Schizosaccharomyces pombe: one gene and its partner. Changing the gene in region 1 together with any one later gene gives a genetic interaction. Each region holds a gene or a part of one and is shown on either strand. Other genes may lie near its edges.

Region 1 (8,249 bases):
GTCGCAATGTTCATACAAGTTACTTGGAGTATTGATTGCCCTTTTTCTTAATATAGTGGCATATTAAAAGCTAGGCAATTTTTTTCGATATTAACATATCCTTGCATATCAATGTACTATTACAGATTGATTAATTTCGCATTTCTACTTTAGGTCGTTTTCACCAACTGTATGGATGCCTACATCCGTGATGCTCTTATTTAAACGACACTTATGCAACAAGGTCTTCGACTTCTAAATCCACGCTCAGGCACTGGATCGCTAGACCATTCAAAAACTATGTTGGGGATTAAGTAAAGATGAAAGAAGTTTACATTTCTAGTACTCTAATATTACTAATCAAAAAGCAAGATATGTCTTCCAAAAAGTACTGAATTTTATAATTAGAAATGAAAATTGAGCACTTATTTGTGGGCATACACAGTCAAAATATTATTCAGGTTGTTAATATTTTCACCGATTGAAATAAGTCGTAAAAAATGTTCCGCCATTTTTAGAATTCATTTGTGATAGCCTCTAAGGATACCGAAAGTTAACATAGCGTTAAACATTCCCAGCATTTTGATGTTATCAGTACTTAAACAAGGTTCTTAAGCCGCGTTAATCCCGTTGACCAATCAAAAGGCTTCTATATCAAATATTTATTTTGACACCATGCCTCCGTTTTCAGTGTCCTACTAATTGCAGTTTTCAACTTCTTTCTTTCTATTTTGTTCTTTGCAACTTCATCTTTTTACAATAGGAACCAGAAGCACTTTTTATCAAGGAATTATTCAATCACTACCTCTACACTATCGTTAAACTTTTATCTTTGTCTAATGTGGAGTATATTCGAAGCTCGTCCTAAAGAAGCCCATTCAGTGAATAAAATTGGATGGCTACGCGCATCAGTGCTAGGTGCCAATGATGGAATTTTGTCACTTTCGGGTTTATTAGTAGGTGTTGTTGCAGCTAATGCTGATATAAAAGTTATTCTCATTACTGGCGTCGCCGGTTTAATGTCTGGTGCTCTATCAATGGCGGTAGGAGAATATGTATCTGTGAGTTCACAGGCAGATTTAGAGGATGCCGATTTGCAACTTGAACGAAGAGAGATGGACGCTGATTGGGATGCAGAAGTGGATGAGTTAGCCGCTATTTATAGAGGGCGAGGGTTAGATGAAGAGCTATCACGTACTGTTGCCGTTCAATTGATGGAATATAATGCTCTGGAAGCCCATGCTAGAGATGAGTTGGGCATAAATATTCACACAACAGCGAAACCTACTTTGGCAGCACTATCTTCAGCAGCTTCCTTCTCAGTTGGTGGTATATTTCCTCTTTTGACATCTCTTATTACTCCTTTAGAATATCTATCGCTTGTTCTTCCAATTGCTACAATGTTTTTTCTTGGTATGTTAGGGTTTGTGGGTGCTCACATTGGAGGTGCCAAAAGAGTGCGTGCAATACTGCGAGCTGTGGTCTTGGGTCTGTTAGCTATGGCAGCCACGGCACTCGTTGGCAGGCTACTTGAGATTCATGCTTTATCCTTGCAGTACGCAATATAGCTTTCATTCATGGACAAATCGTTTATTCATATCGTTCATTGAAAATTTTTTTTGCTACACTTACAACAATTGTCTTCTAAAATATAAAAGATGCATTGAAATGCCTGTTAATTTAAGCTAATTTTTTACGGAAATAATTTTTAATACATGCCAAACGTCTAAAGAGGGGAAGCATCTAGAATCAAGTTGTTGCTACTAATTCATGATCAAATTAAGCTTGGCTTCTCCATTATTATCTCAAAGTAAAGTCTTATTGATGAAGACATAGGATGAAGCAATTATTGGTTCACCAGCTTGTACCTAACGATGAATGAAGTACTTGGAATAATATCAGTAGCATTGCTGTGTGCTATAAATGGTCTAAAACCTAATAGAATAATGAAAGAAATTAATTGGCATTTATTGAATTCGTGTTGGACTATAGAGGATCATGTGAAAATAAACTTGATGAGCTTCAGTTACCCTCATTTCGTCTTGCAGTCTAACATCAGGACTTTTAAAATTGAAATTAGAAATCTTTATAATACTTTTTTTTAGAGGAAATTGATTTTACTGCGAGACTGTGATGGTGAAAGGTGATGGATCGATGATATTTAAAACATTAAAGATGAACTTGATTTCTCTATTCATTAACAAAATAAAACAAAAACACATCTTCATATGATTTTATGTGAGTTGAAATGTTTAGGACTCTGACTTTTTACAGAACAGTATTAGTTAATAACTTTTTTAAACCATTGACATCCACAAGGTCGGAAAATTGTCAAATTAGTATTTCTATGCGTGGATGGAATATGCAATATAGTAACCGAATTTGCACGCAAAAAAGTTAGCATGTTAGATGGCGTTAGGATACGTAATACATTTCCTTTGGTGACAGTATAGCGCATGTCCAGAGGGTTTAGTAGCTTAGCTTAAGAACTCCTGAACACTTTTGTTGGGAAAGTAGTCATTAACGGGATTCTAGACGCCGAATTAATTAAAAGATTCAAGTAGCTAGAAGATTGTTTCATGAAAATTCAATGAGGCTGAACTTCTGAGCGTGGTTTCGTTCCTCATTCAAGGTGAGAAAATAACCTAAATCATGGAGTTGACGGGCTTCGGTTAGTTTTTCTCGGTTCGATATGACACCGAATACCTTCTAAGTTGGTAAGATCGGTTAGCTTTTCCTTTTTTTAAATTCCTCGCAGTGAATGCGTGCTGAGTATTTCGGGTGTAGCAACCATGCCAAAGTGGTAAAGTACACAATAAACCGATCATAGGAATCATATTAATTATTTTCTCTATTATTTATGCAGGGTGTTTTCACTTTTTAAGTACAACAAAAGGAGTTTTTAAAGTATCAATAAACTTATAGTTCTTTCGTATTAACAGCATCCGATGAAGGCAGAAAACCTTAGTAGTTTATGAAAACAGCTACGAGATGGATACCATGAGATGAGTATTACCGCAATTGAATAGTTTATTCTGTTCGAGAAGTATTGAAGGTACTGACCGGAAAAAAAAAGCAAGGGGAAAAAGTTTAGTTTCTGTTGATTTTCATAAGCAGGAAGCATCAAAAATACAGTCCAACGACTCGCCAAACATTTCATCTAATTGTTTTAGTATTTTTTCTCCAAGTAATGCTTGCTTGCACATGACTTTAGCTCATCAGATAAAAAATAGACTGTCAGAGGAACACCCCGCTTCCAGCCGCTTCCGCTATACACTAAATACAGTGTTGAACAAAATGAACTTTGTAAACGCGTGAATCTACGCCACTGCAAAAGTGCAAGGGGTGGCTTCCAGAGGTTACAGAGGGGAGGCTTTGTACAAGTTCTTTGTTAAATTTTTTTTTTCAAGCTGACAACATTTGAGAAGAATGCGTCTTTTTTGCTAAAATGTGTTATTGCGATCATGTTTGTCCAAAATGTTGCAACAACAGAGGTGCAAATTTGGTTGATCTGATAACGCATCAAGATAATCAGATATGACACAAATAGCAAAGTGGACAATCGAATGCGATATTAATAAGGCTGCGCTTTTAACAACATTTTCAACGAATTTCAACTAAGAAACAAATAGACATACGAAAGTAGGGAAACTCGGATTTTGGGGAACGAGTACTAATAGTTTCTGAAAATTCAGTTTAATTTTTTGCTAACTGCAAACCCAAAGGATTGGATATCTCATTCCGGTCCACTTACATTACACCCTTTTCTAATTATTATTAATAATTTTTAATATATACAATTTTGAACAAGAAGAATCTCCATACATTTATACATTTGAAGGATGGCGATAAATTCGAGCGACAAATGGACCGTCATTGCAATATGCTTAATTCTTGGGATATTACTTGCATTTATATTGATGTTTTGGCTTGAGCGTTTTCGGGTCATAATAAAATCAAATGCACACAAACATGACCCATCAGATAAGAGGCAAATATGGCTCGAGAAATATTATCTTTTTGTTCGACAGATTTATACGTATCTTGTCACTCACAAAGTAATATTGACTTTAATTGCTGTTCCTGTCGTCTTCGCCATCTCAATACCATTTATTGGCATGCAAACTCCCGCAAGCTCTCACGGAAAGCAAACAACACAAGTAAGTACTGGTAATTGGAGCAAAAATGCAGTGGCCGCTCGGTTAGGATTTTTGGCATGTGGCCTCTATGTAACTTCCTACTTTTTTAGCATAAAAAACAATCCTTTTGCTTTATTGCTCATTTCGTCTCACGAAAAAATGAATTATGTGCATCGTCGTCTTTCTCAATATGCAATTATGATCGGTGCTATTCACGGCTTTGCATACATTGGTCTTGCAGCGCAAGGTAAAAGGGCACTTCTTACTGCAAGAGTCACCATTATCGGTTATGTTATTTTAGGGTTAATGGTAATTATGATCGTAAGCAGCTTGCCATTTTTCCGTCGAAGATTTTACGAATGGTTTTTTGTTTTGCACCATATGTGCAGCATTGGCTTTTTAATTACTATTTGGCTCCACCATCGAAGGTGTGTGGTTTACATGAAGGTCTGTGTTGCCGTGTACGTGTTTGATCGTGGCTGCAGAATGCTAAGAAGCTTTTTAAATCGTTCCAAATTCGATGTTGTTTTGGTGGAAGACGATCTCATCTATATGAAAGGGCCTCGTCCAAAAAAATCTTTCTTTGGATTACCTTGGGGTGCTGGAAACCATATGTATATTAATATTCCCTCTTTAAGTTATTGGCAAATACATCCATTCACGATTGCGAGCGTTCCTTCCGATGATTTTATCGAACTATTTGTCGCAGTAAGGGCTGGTTTCACAAAGCGATTAGCCAAGAAGGTCTCTTCCAAAAGTTTGAGTGATGTCTCCGACATCAATATTAGTGATGAGAAGATAGAAAAAAATGGAGACGTTGGAATTGAAGTGATGGAAAGACATTCGTTATCACAGGAAGACTTAGTCTTCGAAAGTTCGGCTGCCAAAGTATCGGTACTAATGGATGGCCCTTACGGCCCAGTCTCAAACCCATACAAAGATTATTCTTACCTCTTTTTGTTTGCTGGAGGTGTTGGAGTTTCGTATATCTTACCGATTATTTTGGATACTATAAAAAAGCAAAGCAGAACCGTTCATATAACTTTTGTTTGGTCTGCTCGTTCTTCGGCTTTATTGAACATCGTGCATAAGTCACTTTGTGAAGCTGTTCGTTACACAGAAATGAATATCAACATATTCTGCCATTTGACTAACAGCTACCCTGTCGAGGAAGTCTCTTCTCTAAACTCTCAAAGTGCTAGAAATTACAGTTTGCAATACCTAAATGGAAGGCCTGATGTAAATGATTATTTTAAAGATTTTCTGCATGCAACTGGTACTCAAACAGCCGCTCTTGCATCATGCGGCTCGGATAAGCTTCTGAGACATCTTAAAAGCTGTGTCAATACACACTCACCTTCCACTGTCGATCTTTATCAACACTATGAAGAAATTTGAAAAATTTAATGAACCTCAAAACTCTCTTTTAACGGTGACAAATTACTGAAAGTGTACAAAATATTTTCCGATTATTTAGATACTAAGTTGCTTGTAAAACAATCAATACTTCCATAGAATCGTAAAATTCCATCTAATTTTCGCTTTACATTTAGAAAAGCATACATTAATTAATTTGATGGTTTAAGTTACGAAACTGTATTGTCTTTATCTAACGGTAGCTTATGTTGATCCAAACTTTGGTAAGAAAATCATACAATCAAGTTAACTCGAAAAAACGAAGTCTTCTTGAATCCAAAAGAAACCTCAAGACTATTTTTCTCTTTTTTTTAATTTAAAAGATTAGAAGATTAAGTCTGGTCCAATATATTAACATAGAGAAATAATGAGCTTGTATACGAAAATTATGACGAAGTGAATATAAATAATCGTCCTTAGTTACAAATTAGCTTAAAAGAAATTTCCAAAAGCAAACGGAGTCTATGTGTAAACATGGTAGGTACATTGTAATAATTTGCAAATAACTGGTTCTCTACTTGGTTGTTTTAAAATCATGGGTGATTTAGTATTCACTCCGAAGTCTGGAAGTACTCTTCCTTACCTAATTGCAGTATTTTCGTTTCAGTAATGCTTACAGTTGAGTGAAAATCAGGTGTCTCTTTAATTCAAATTAAATTATCTCTTGTTGTTTATGCGTAAGTTTTTGTTTTCTGAGCAAAAACATTTACTTTTTGCTGCTACGGAAAACAATACTCAGTTGTGACTCACTAGCTTCTAACAAATTGTGCGATGCATTGAAGGTAAAGAGACAACCCCAACGTCAAGGGAAACCATAACGTCCTCAGAGCACTACAATATTTAATGAACATCAACAATAAGTAATATTAATCCTTATTTTGCAAACTTTCAATCATTTCTTATAATTTTTTATTTCATTAGCTGAACAAGCGAAATATTAACAGTAAAGACGTAGAACTAAAACTATTAATTTCACTTCCGCATTCGTGGAAATTTTGAAACTTCTCGAAACGGTATTATATGTCCACTGGCATATTCATAAATGAAAGGCTAACTATCCTCATGAAACTAGTCACTTCCAAATCATATTTAAAAATGTTAATTTATGCTTTAAGGTTTTCTTTGCAAGCAAAGTATTACTTTATAATGTAAGTGAGAACAAAGACCATGAAAAATAAAATGCAATAACGCTATATAAATTTTGATGACACGGATTATACCCAAGTCGGGTGTGATTCTTCTGACACGTTTGACCTCCTAGGAAAAACCGATCTGGAGTGTGCGCCAGCAGATGCAAAGGATTCTGAAGAAGCGCTGCTATCGTCATTATCCGCACCATCTGCATTTTCGATAAAACGTTCTTCTTGACCGCGGTATCCTTTTGACTTCTCTCTTTCTCGCTTTTCTTCTTCTTTACTGAAGTGTATACGACGAGATTCAATTTGTCTCACGTACTTATAGGAATCCCATGGCTTAATGTCAGACTCGTATAATTCATTAACTTCTTCCAAGGTAAGGCCTTTAGTTTCTTTGGCCATCAAAAATATTTGAAACGCAGAAGTCATATTGATACAAGCATAAATATATCCAAGTTTGAACCCAATAGAATTTGAGATGAAAGGAGTGAAGAATGAAACCATAAAGTTGCCCAGCCAATTACCCGATGTGGCTACAGCAGCACATTTGCTACGATACCGTATTGGAAAGGTTTCGCCGACAATAACCCAGCCCATTGGGCCCCAAGAACAGCAGTAAGAGAAAAGAAACAAACAAGAAAACACAATCATTACAGCTCCTGCTCTGTGATCACTAGTACCATTCTTATATATGAGCTTTCGATCGCCTACAGCGGCATATATAAAGAAGCATATCGATTGGAAAGCAGCTCCAAAAATTAGTGGGTTACGACGTCCTAAGTTATCAATTGTGTATAAAGCACCAAACGTTGTACCAAAATTAATAGCACCTAAAATAACGGCTGGTAAGAATATATCCGTCATACCAGTTCCCTTGAAAACTTGTGTAGCATAATAAAAGTAATAGTTATTACCAATCAATTCTCTCAGTAACATAGTAAGGAATCCCAAGACAGTACGATAGCGAACTTCTTTTCCAAAAACCTCAGGCCATCTTGCCTTACCTCCAGCCATTTCCATTTCAATATCACTCTTAATGGTATTAAAATTGGTTTGAATGATTTCACTCTCAGGATCTAGTTCAGCAGTTTGACACATGATTCGAAGAGCCTCTTCATCTCTTCCCTTATAGATGAGGTAACGCGGTGATTCAGGTAAAAACAGTACACCCACCATCAAAAAGATACCCCAAAGTATGTTAATGCCAAAGGAAGTTCTCCAGGACGCTGTTTTACGAAGTTTATGAGTTCCCATATTGATACAAGCAGCGATTAAAGTACCGCAAGTTTGAAATAGTTGATAGGTCGAAACAACTGCACCACGAATTTGCGGAGGAGCAACTTCAGATTGGTATCCAGGACTCAACACCGACAAAGCACCAATAGTTAAACCTGTAAATAACTTACCAACCATAATCTGAACCCAAGAAGGAACAGCAGTTACCAAAAGAATTTGACCAATAATGTAACAACCGCTAAAGAAGGCAATGGAGTATTTTTTGCCAATGGCTTCAGTAAATGGAGAGGAAAGCATAGCACCAAATAAGCAACCAGCGTTAACGGTTCCTGTCAACAGTGCT
Region 2 (7,275 bases), on another chromosome or scaffold:
GGCCGAAGTTGGTTTTGTAGAGCTTGCTAAATTTTTAAAGAAGGATGTTCCCGATATGCTGGTTACCTTTTTTTTAGATTTCGAATTGCTTGATTTAGTAGTTGAGGAAGCGCTTGGTTTATTAGACGCAGACGGGGCCATCGCCGGACCAGCCGGGGCCATAACGACTGCGGAAGATGAAACAGTCGAATCGTTCTTCGTAGAGCTCTTCTCATTTTCTCTATTTTGTTCAATAGTAAAACTTTTCTCGGCCAGTTCAGAAAGATTTTCAGCAAGCTGGCGTATAACGGAATTGGTAGACTTTTTTTTTACGATTAAAATTGGTTTGCCAAACTTAACCTCAGCTAGCTTCTCAGTCGTAAGAGGAAGATTAGCTAGCACGAGCAGTATTAAATGAATGAGTTCGTCGTGTTTAGAACGAATAGCTGATACAAACCAGTTACGTAGTTTAGGAAGGAACAATTTACGACCGCCGTCAACAAGTTGGCTATAAATACTATTCCCCACTTTGCTTTTAAGAAGATCTAGAAAAACTAATTTTTGATCATCTTGGGTGATATTGCTCATGAGATTAACAAGGATTGCAGCACATTCTTTTGGAGCTTGGACGATGTTAATTGGGTTTAAACACTCAGTCAGAGTAAGGCGCAAATCTTCTAACGGATCAGAGGAAGAAATTTTTTGACGAGATTTAGATTTTAATCGTGCAAGCATTTGAACGTTCACGTCTGATTTTGATGATGGTACTTCATGGGAGGCGGTATTTAAACTAAGGCGCTTCGTTAGTCATAAATAAATTTTTAAGGCAAAATAAACTTACGAAGATCCTGAATCCGGATTCCTTGAAGTATGACTTGGATTATTAACATATGGATTGGCTGAGATAGAGGTATGATTAGTATTTTGTGATTGAGAGTCATTGGAAGGAGAAATGCCAGGAGAACTTGGTTCCTTATTAGAGGACAAGGATTGTGATGGGGAGCCAGTTTGCGAAGATCCAGAAGATATGAGTGATGGATTGGATGAGGCAACTAAGATAAATATTAGCAAATTGAACGAATCAAAAAAGAAAAAGAAAAATTGAGAACATAGGAAAACTCAGTATAGTAGAGATAAAAATAAAAAGAATGAATAAACAAAAGAAAATATACCTGAAGGCATTGTAGCTAACAATGAAGCATCTTTATGTGACAGAGGTGACTGGGAGTGTTGAAACACATGAGGTTCTAAGCCTAAGGGCAACAATTAGTAGAATTCTAAGAGAAAGGATCAAAAATAGCAGAGAAAAAAGAGAGAACAAGCAATCAAGACATCACTCGCTACAGCCCGTAGAGGCAAATATTTCAAATTATTGACCAACTCTCTATCCCCGCTTTAATAGCCTGCATACCAGGGAAAGCACTCATTAACTTTTCATCTAAGTTTTCTTCTAAATCAGGACTCAGATTAATAAATTCCGGTTTTCCACTATACTCATTGGAAGTATGTGGAGGATTTTCTGACGTTTTACTTGTTTGTCTATCACTCGACACATTTCGCACGGAATTCCAATTATCCATTAATTAAATATCAAAGAGGTTCAAAGTAATACTCCGAATAAATTGAACCTTTCAGAAATTCGCACTGTGCCGATTTAATCGTTTCCTGAGGATATACGCTGAGAAAGGATCAACGTCGACTACTATTCAAGTAAGGAAACTGAACATGCAACTTTGTGAAATTCGTTGGAGTTCTCTAAACCCTTCGCTACACCATCGTGTATATTAATAGTTAAAACTAAATAAAAAAATATAATTTTAGTAGATTTTTAATTTTTTAATTATATTGACAATAATAGAAGACTTAAGAAGCATTTTTGGCGTGTGGGACTTGGTATGCCAAATGGCTTTCCAGCTGTAAACAAAATGATTCACCGTTTTTAGATCGGATCAATCTTTTCACGAATTCCGTTAGAAAAAATTAAGAATAAAAGGATATTATACTCTTATTTTTTTCTTCATTCTCTTGTGATTTTGAACCCATCTCTTTTTCCTCATACATTAACCGGTCTTCATATTAACGTCTGTTATTAGATAGTAAACATAATTTATACATTGTTTTTTTTTTTTGAGAGTAAGCTGTGCACCAGTTCTATGAACGGAGTATTTTTATTTATTTTTTGCAGAATGGAACAAATTAATCTATATACTAACTGTGGAATGTATGAATCCTTTAGACAAAATGAATGAAAATACCTTCTACAAATTTTGAGGAATATATAGTAGGATTTTCAAATAATTTAAATATTGAGACATACAAAAATTAAGAATACCAATCATTTGTTCTCGTTTCATAATTCACATTTTGTGTCTATAACTTTCTTTATTAGCTTTTTTCTTTATCACACTAAAGTTGACATTTCTATTGACATTCTTTATGAAAAGAAATTTGCAAAATTTGATGTACAGATGTTTTAACAATTTTTTTTTTAAAAAAAAAAGGGGGGGGGGGGAATTGCTTTCTTCATAAAGTTCAACTAATTACAAACAAGCTAGCATAGTATTTTAAATAGAATTGGTTTGTATTTGAATTAAAGTAAAGATAAAGGAAAATAATACTCTTTATGGACTAGTTCCTCGATGTCGCAGCTGCAAGTCGTTCTTAAATTGCAAAAAAAAATTGCATATTAACTAGTCTTTGATTTGATTCTCGTTTACATTAACATAAACGTATAAATTTTTTTTTTCTTAACGGTTTTCTTTATTATTAAAAGAAAGGTGAGCATATATAATCAACATCGTCATGCATATAGATAAATGGGAAATTTCAGTTATCAGAGAAAACCCGCATGAAAAGTAAAAGGACTCAATAAACTCCTAACATTCAGTCATTCGATTATTTCATATCAACAAATGTATTATGGTTATAACAAGATAAATACTTAACGAGTGAAACCAAAATCTTCTGTAAACCGTTGATAATACAATGGCACTAAATTCATCAATTCATAAATGTTTCAACAGAAAATGGCGGTAATTAATCCGGACACTAGTATCTTCATGCAACCTTATTCGCTAAAAGAAAAGGTAAAAAAAATAAAATGTGTCTTTGCTATTGAGTAGATTTGTTCAACAATGGGTAATTAAGGGATGCTTGAAAACAGCGTGTTAAATGGGGAGTTACAATAAATCATGCAGAAAATAACTTGCACACCAGCATAGCACACAAATCTAAAAATGGGAAAGATGACTTAAGATCATCCATGCCATGATCAGCTGTTCGTTCAGGATGAGAATAAATATCTTTGTAACCATTAGATTTCACATCTAGCATAAAACACCCGGGCATAACTTCATAAAGTTGTAACTCAATATAAGCATAAGTATTTTTTCCTTCCCTTTTACAATGAGGAATTTCCCAACGACTTTTAATGGTATACATGTCTGATCGATATTTTCCATTTACTGGTTTTGGAACGGTAAACTGAGCTCCTGCACGTTGTAAAGCTCGATACACAGCCAACAAAATTTCAGGTGCATCGCCCCGGCAGCGAACACCAAAATGCCATTTGTTACGGCGACTCTTTTTGCGAGTGGATTGGCTCGTATCCACAGCACTAGCAGCATCGGCAAGAGTCCTCATTTCAAGTTTATTTTTTTCTGCCGTAGGCACAAGGACACATATGTTACTGTCAATTGTTTGTTTAGCATATGTTGGAGGGTCGGAGACTGTCCAACGCGGTCCTTCTAAAGTAGGATCGATAAGCTCCTGTTTTGACTTCTTTTGCAATTCAGAAGTATATTCTGAAAATGCGGGTGGAGATACAGATAGAAAAGAATCGACTCGTTTTGATTTGGAGAGATGACTCTTTTCTTGGATTACTTGATTTTCATGTAGCAAGTTATAAGCCTCTTTTACTTCATTATTTTCATCTGAACGTAAAGCTTCGACAATGTAATCCTCCGAGAACCCCATTGCCTCACCAAGCTTGCTGACAATTCGTGAATCAGCATAAGAGCCTTGGACCTCCTCCATAGGACGTAAATAATCGGGTAAATTAACGTTGAACCAAGGGTCCCGACGTATTTCCTGAATTGTTATCCTCTGCATTGGATCTGCAACAATCATTCGGCGAATTAAAGATTGTGCTCCGGGAGAAAGAAAATCAGGCATAACATAAACACAACCTAAATACGTTTAGCAAGAGATAAGTAGAAAAAAAAGTGGCCAAACATACTGTTAACTTTTTTAAACAAATTGGGGATAAATTCATCGTCGAAAGGAAGACGACCCACCAACATCACATAGAGAACAATGCCGCAACTCCAAACATCGACTTCTGGACCAGCATACAATTTCCCGTTGATAACTTCCGGGGCTGCATAATTTGGACTGCCACAGGACGTTTTTAGGAAATTACCGTCTGTCATAATATTTGATAAACCGAAATCAGCAATCTTTACGTTGAGATTGTCATCCAACAACAAATTTTCGGGTTTAAGATCGCGATGTACAATTTTGTGACGGTGACAGTACTCAATTGCACATATAATTTGTTGAAAAAAACGACGACCCTCATCTTCAGTCATCTTTAAAAACAGTCAGCAAATACATAAATTCGTGCATTCAAATTTGTAAACAAGCCTTCATCAGCAACATTTCAGATGCAAAAACAATTTATCTTTTTCTATTTTTAAAAAAGACAATCGGATAACTTGTACATTTTGACAAATCAAACCAATCCAACATCACTTCTGAAATTTACTGTAACAAAAACTCGCAAACCGCACCACTTACCCTTTTCTTTTCTACAATATAATCAAACAATTCACCACCTGCATATTCAATTACCATAACGATATCTGTGGGCGTGGTTATCACATCATACAATTTAATAATATGAGGATGTCGCAAAAGCTTCAAGTATGAAATTTCACGCTCCACACGCATATGCATATCGCTTTTCTTTAGCAATTGACGGGAGATAAACTTGAGAGCAACTTTCTGTTGCGTTTTGTAATGAGTAGCGACTACAAGTACGTTAGTCTCTATTCTCATGATATTAAATATTAGCAATCTTACGCTTGACTTTGCCAAAAGAACCTTCACCAAGGGTTTCCCTTATAATATAAGGGCCGATATGGCGCTTGGATATGGCTTCTGGTGGTAAAACTCTTGCTCCATTTCGCATGGTTGAGTTCTCCATTAAATCAACCTCCTGCGGTTGCATTATCAGCTATTCGCTTGGCAAATCCAATATTGAAAGTTTATTGATAAAATCTTTTTTTCCTTAATAGCAAGGCTTAAATTTCAGAGTGTGAGATAAATATATAATTTGGTAGAAGGCAAAGCCATAGTATACATCCTTAGTTGTGTCACATGAGATGATATGAATTGGACTCGTTAATTCGTTTAAAATAACACTATACAGTTTTTTAAGCCACCGTTTTACTAGTTAACGAAGTTGCGTCACAATGCGGAATTTTACTCAATGAATTAAAATTCTACTACACTATTCATTTTAATGCAAACTGCAAACTCTTATTTAACTAACCCAGTTAACTGTTCCAATAAAATACTTATACATGTTACAGTGTTCGCATTTCAATCTTGGCTGTATAAGTAATAACATGATCCAAGTATGATTAAGCAGTTTATTATGTTTGTAAAGAACCCATCCCAGATATAATGGAACACACGGCGTACCCCACAGTCTTCATAAGATGGTTGTTAAGTGCAGCGTTGTGTATCGCATTATAACGCTCTTGTCAAATCTTCGTTGAGTTTGTAAACAATTAAGTACTGGTTGAGTTAATACAAAAAAAAGGAAATGAACAAGCTTTTTATTAGAAAAGAGTCTTCATATTGGATGTGATTTCTCAGCAACATTTAAACAGTGATCATGAATATAACGAGCCTGAACTGATTTCATTTGTTTACAAGGCACACAGACTAATTATCACTGTTTCTTGCATGAAAGTCTTTGCTTTGACGAAAAAATTTAATATTCTAAGAAAAGCTATCAATCAAAATCCAAATAAAAATTTTTTTAGAAAGCAGGGAAGTGTTTTCGAAGTCAACAACTTGTATGATAATATAAGAATGCAATAAAAATACAGCGCAATTTACCCTGAACGAATTTTATAGCTTGTTTGGGGTAAATCACAATCACAGGAATGCTTTTTTATTTGGACATCCTCGTAAACAAGTTTCGTGTAAAAAGCATCTTTGTAATTCAAATAGTAAAGTTAGCATGTGATTGGACTTTATTTACAAAATTCATTTCACACGATGAATAGAGGTTTCTTCATTCACATGCTGTCTGGCATCACGATCTATAGGTGTTAAGCAAACACATTTAAAGTGATACTTTTTTATATAATAGAATATGCCACCATAAGTTAGTTCGCAAATTTTTAGCTTTAGGTCAAACTACGCAATTAAAACTTTGCGCTACGTGTAGTAGTACGGTAAATTTCGTTGTGGTTTATTAATTATAGTATACAGATATCATGAGTAGCAATTAATTTTATGTATTGATATATGGGTTAAATCGTTACCCATCACTAAACTAGCTTATAAGTGAATGTCGTTCCTGAGTTCAATTTGGCTCTATTTATATTTCATCCTAATTTATTAAACCACAAACATTCTAGATGAACAGTTATCCGCGATTATCAGTATTTAAACGGGTCTTAAAACTATATTAACATAAGGAAACATGCTGATACACAACGTAATGTATTTTAACGCAGGGTAGTATTGCTGACACTAATTTGCAATGACTTTCTTGTTAACTCGCGTTTTAGTAAATAAAAACATTAATTTCGTTTAATTTGAAATTAAAGCAAAAAGACATTATATGTTTTCCTAAAATCATTAATGATGTAGACATATCAATGCCTTGCCAACTCGCGAATTAACATGTTTATCGTATTGTTGTCAGCAAACGGGATAAGAGTTTTGCCTCATATTGCTTGGCAAACAGTAAGTCTACTTTCTTTTTGAATTTAATTCATGAACGAGTTAAAAATTTTGACACAAATTCTTGTTTCTGCAGTACAATGATTTGCTTGTCGCACACATTCACAGTCATTGTATAACTATCCTCGTGTAAACATCGCAGATCTCTACATTGCAAACGTCCTCTATTTCAGTATAGTATAACTCTATCTAATCCTTTGTTCATTTCAAAATGCCAAGTTTGAGGTATGGATTAGGGAGATACTCTTTCATGTTGCTTGTTCAAAGAGAAAAATATTAAAAATCGAGGAAATTCAGAAGAACAAGAAAAGT

The links. A genetic interaction does not mean that the proteins touch.
Region 2: mutations in frp1 (region 1) and ssp2 together harm fitness less than expected from each alone (positive genetic interaction), as found in Schizosaccharomyces pombe (one large-scale study listed by BioGRID).

The regions. Positions count from the first base shown.
Region 1 is NC_003423.3:157,728-165,976, reverse strand, and holds frp1 (Fe(3+)-chelate reductase Frp1), read left to right. Parts: upstream 1-3,584; 5' UTR 3,585-3,821; coding exon 3,822-5,516; 3' UTR 5,517-5,620; downstream 5,621-8,249. Other genes in the region: Fe(2+) transporter Pcl1, read left to right, coding at 819-1,547; hexose transporter Ght4 , read right to left, coding at 6,749-8,249. UniProt on the Schizosaccharomyces pombe protein: Metalloreductase responsible for reducing extracellular iron and copper prior to import. Catalyzes the reductive uptake of Fe(3+)-salts and Fe(3+) bound to catecholate or hydroxamate siderophores.
Region 2 is NC_003421.2:1,926,649-1,933,923, forward strand, and holds ssp2 (serine/threonine protein kinase AMPK catalytic (alpha) subunit Ssp2), read right to left. Parts: upstream 5,327-7,275; 5' UTR 5,210-5,326; coding exon 5,062-5,209; intron 5,010-5,061; coding exon 4,777-5,009; intron 4,569-4,776; coding exon 4,217-4,568; intron 4,167-4,216; coding exon 3,169-4,166; 3' UTR 2,542-3,168; downstream 1-2,541. Other genes in the region: ppn1 (cleavage and polyadenylation specificity factor complex-associated protein), read right to left, coding at 1-769, 821-1,031, 1,152-1,232, 1,391-1,559. UniProt on the Schizosaccharomyces pombe protein: Serine/threonine protein kinase essential for release from glucose repression via the phosphorylation of scr1 upon glucose deprivation.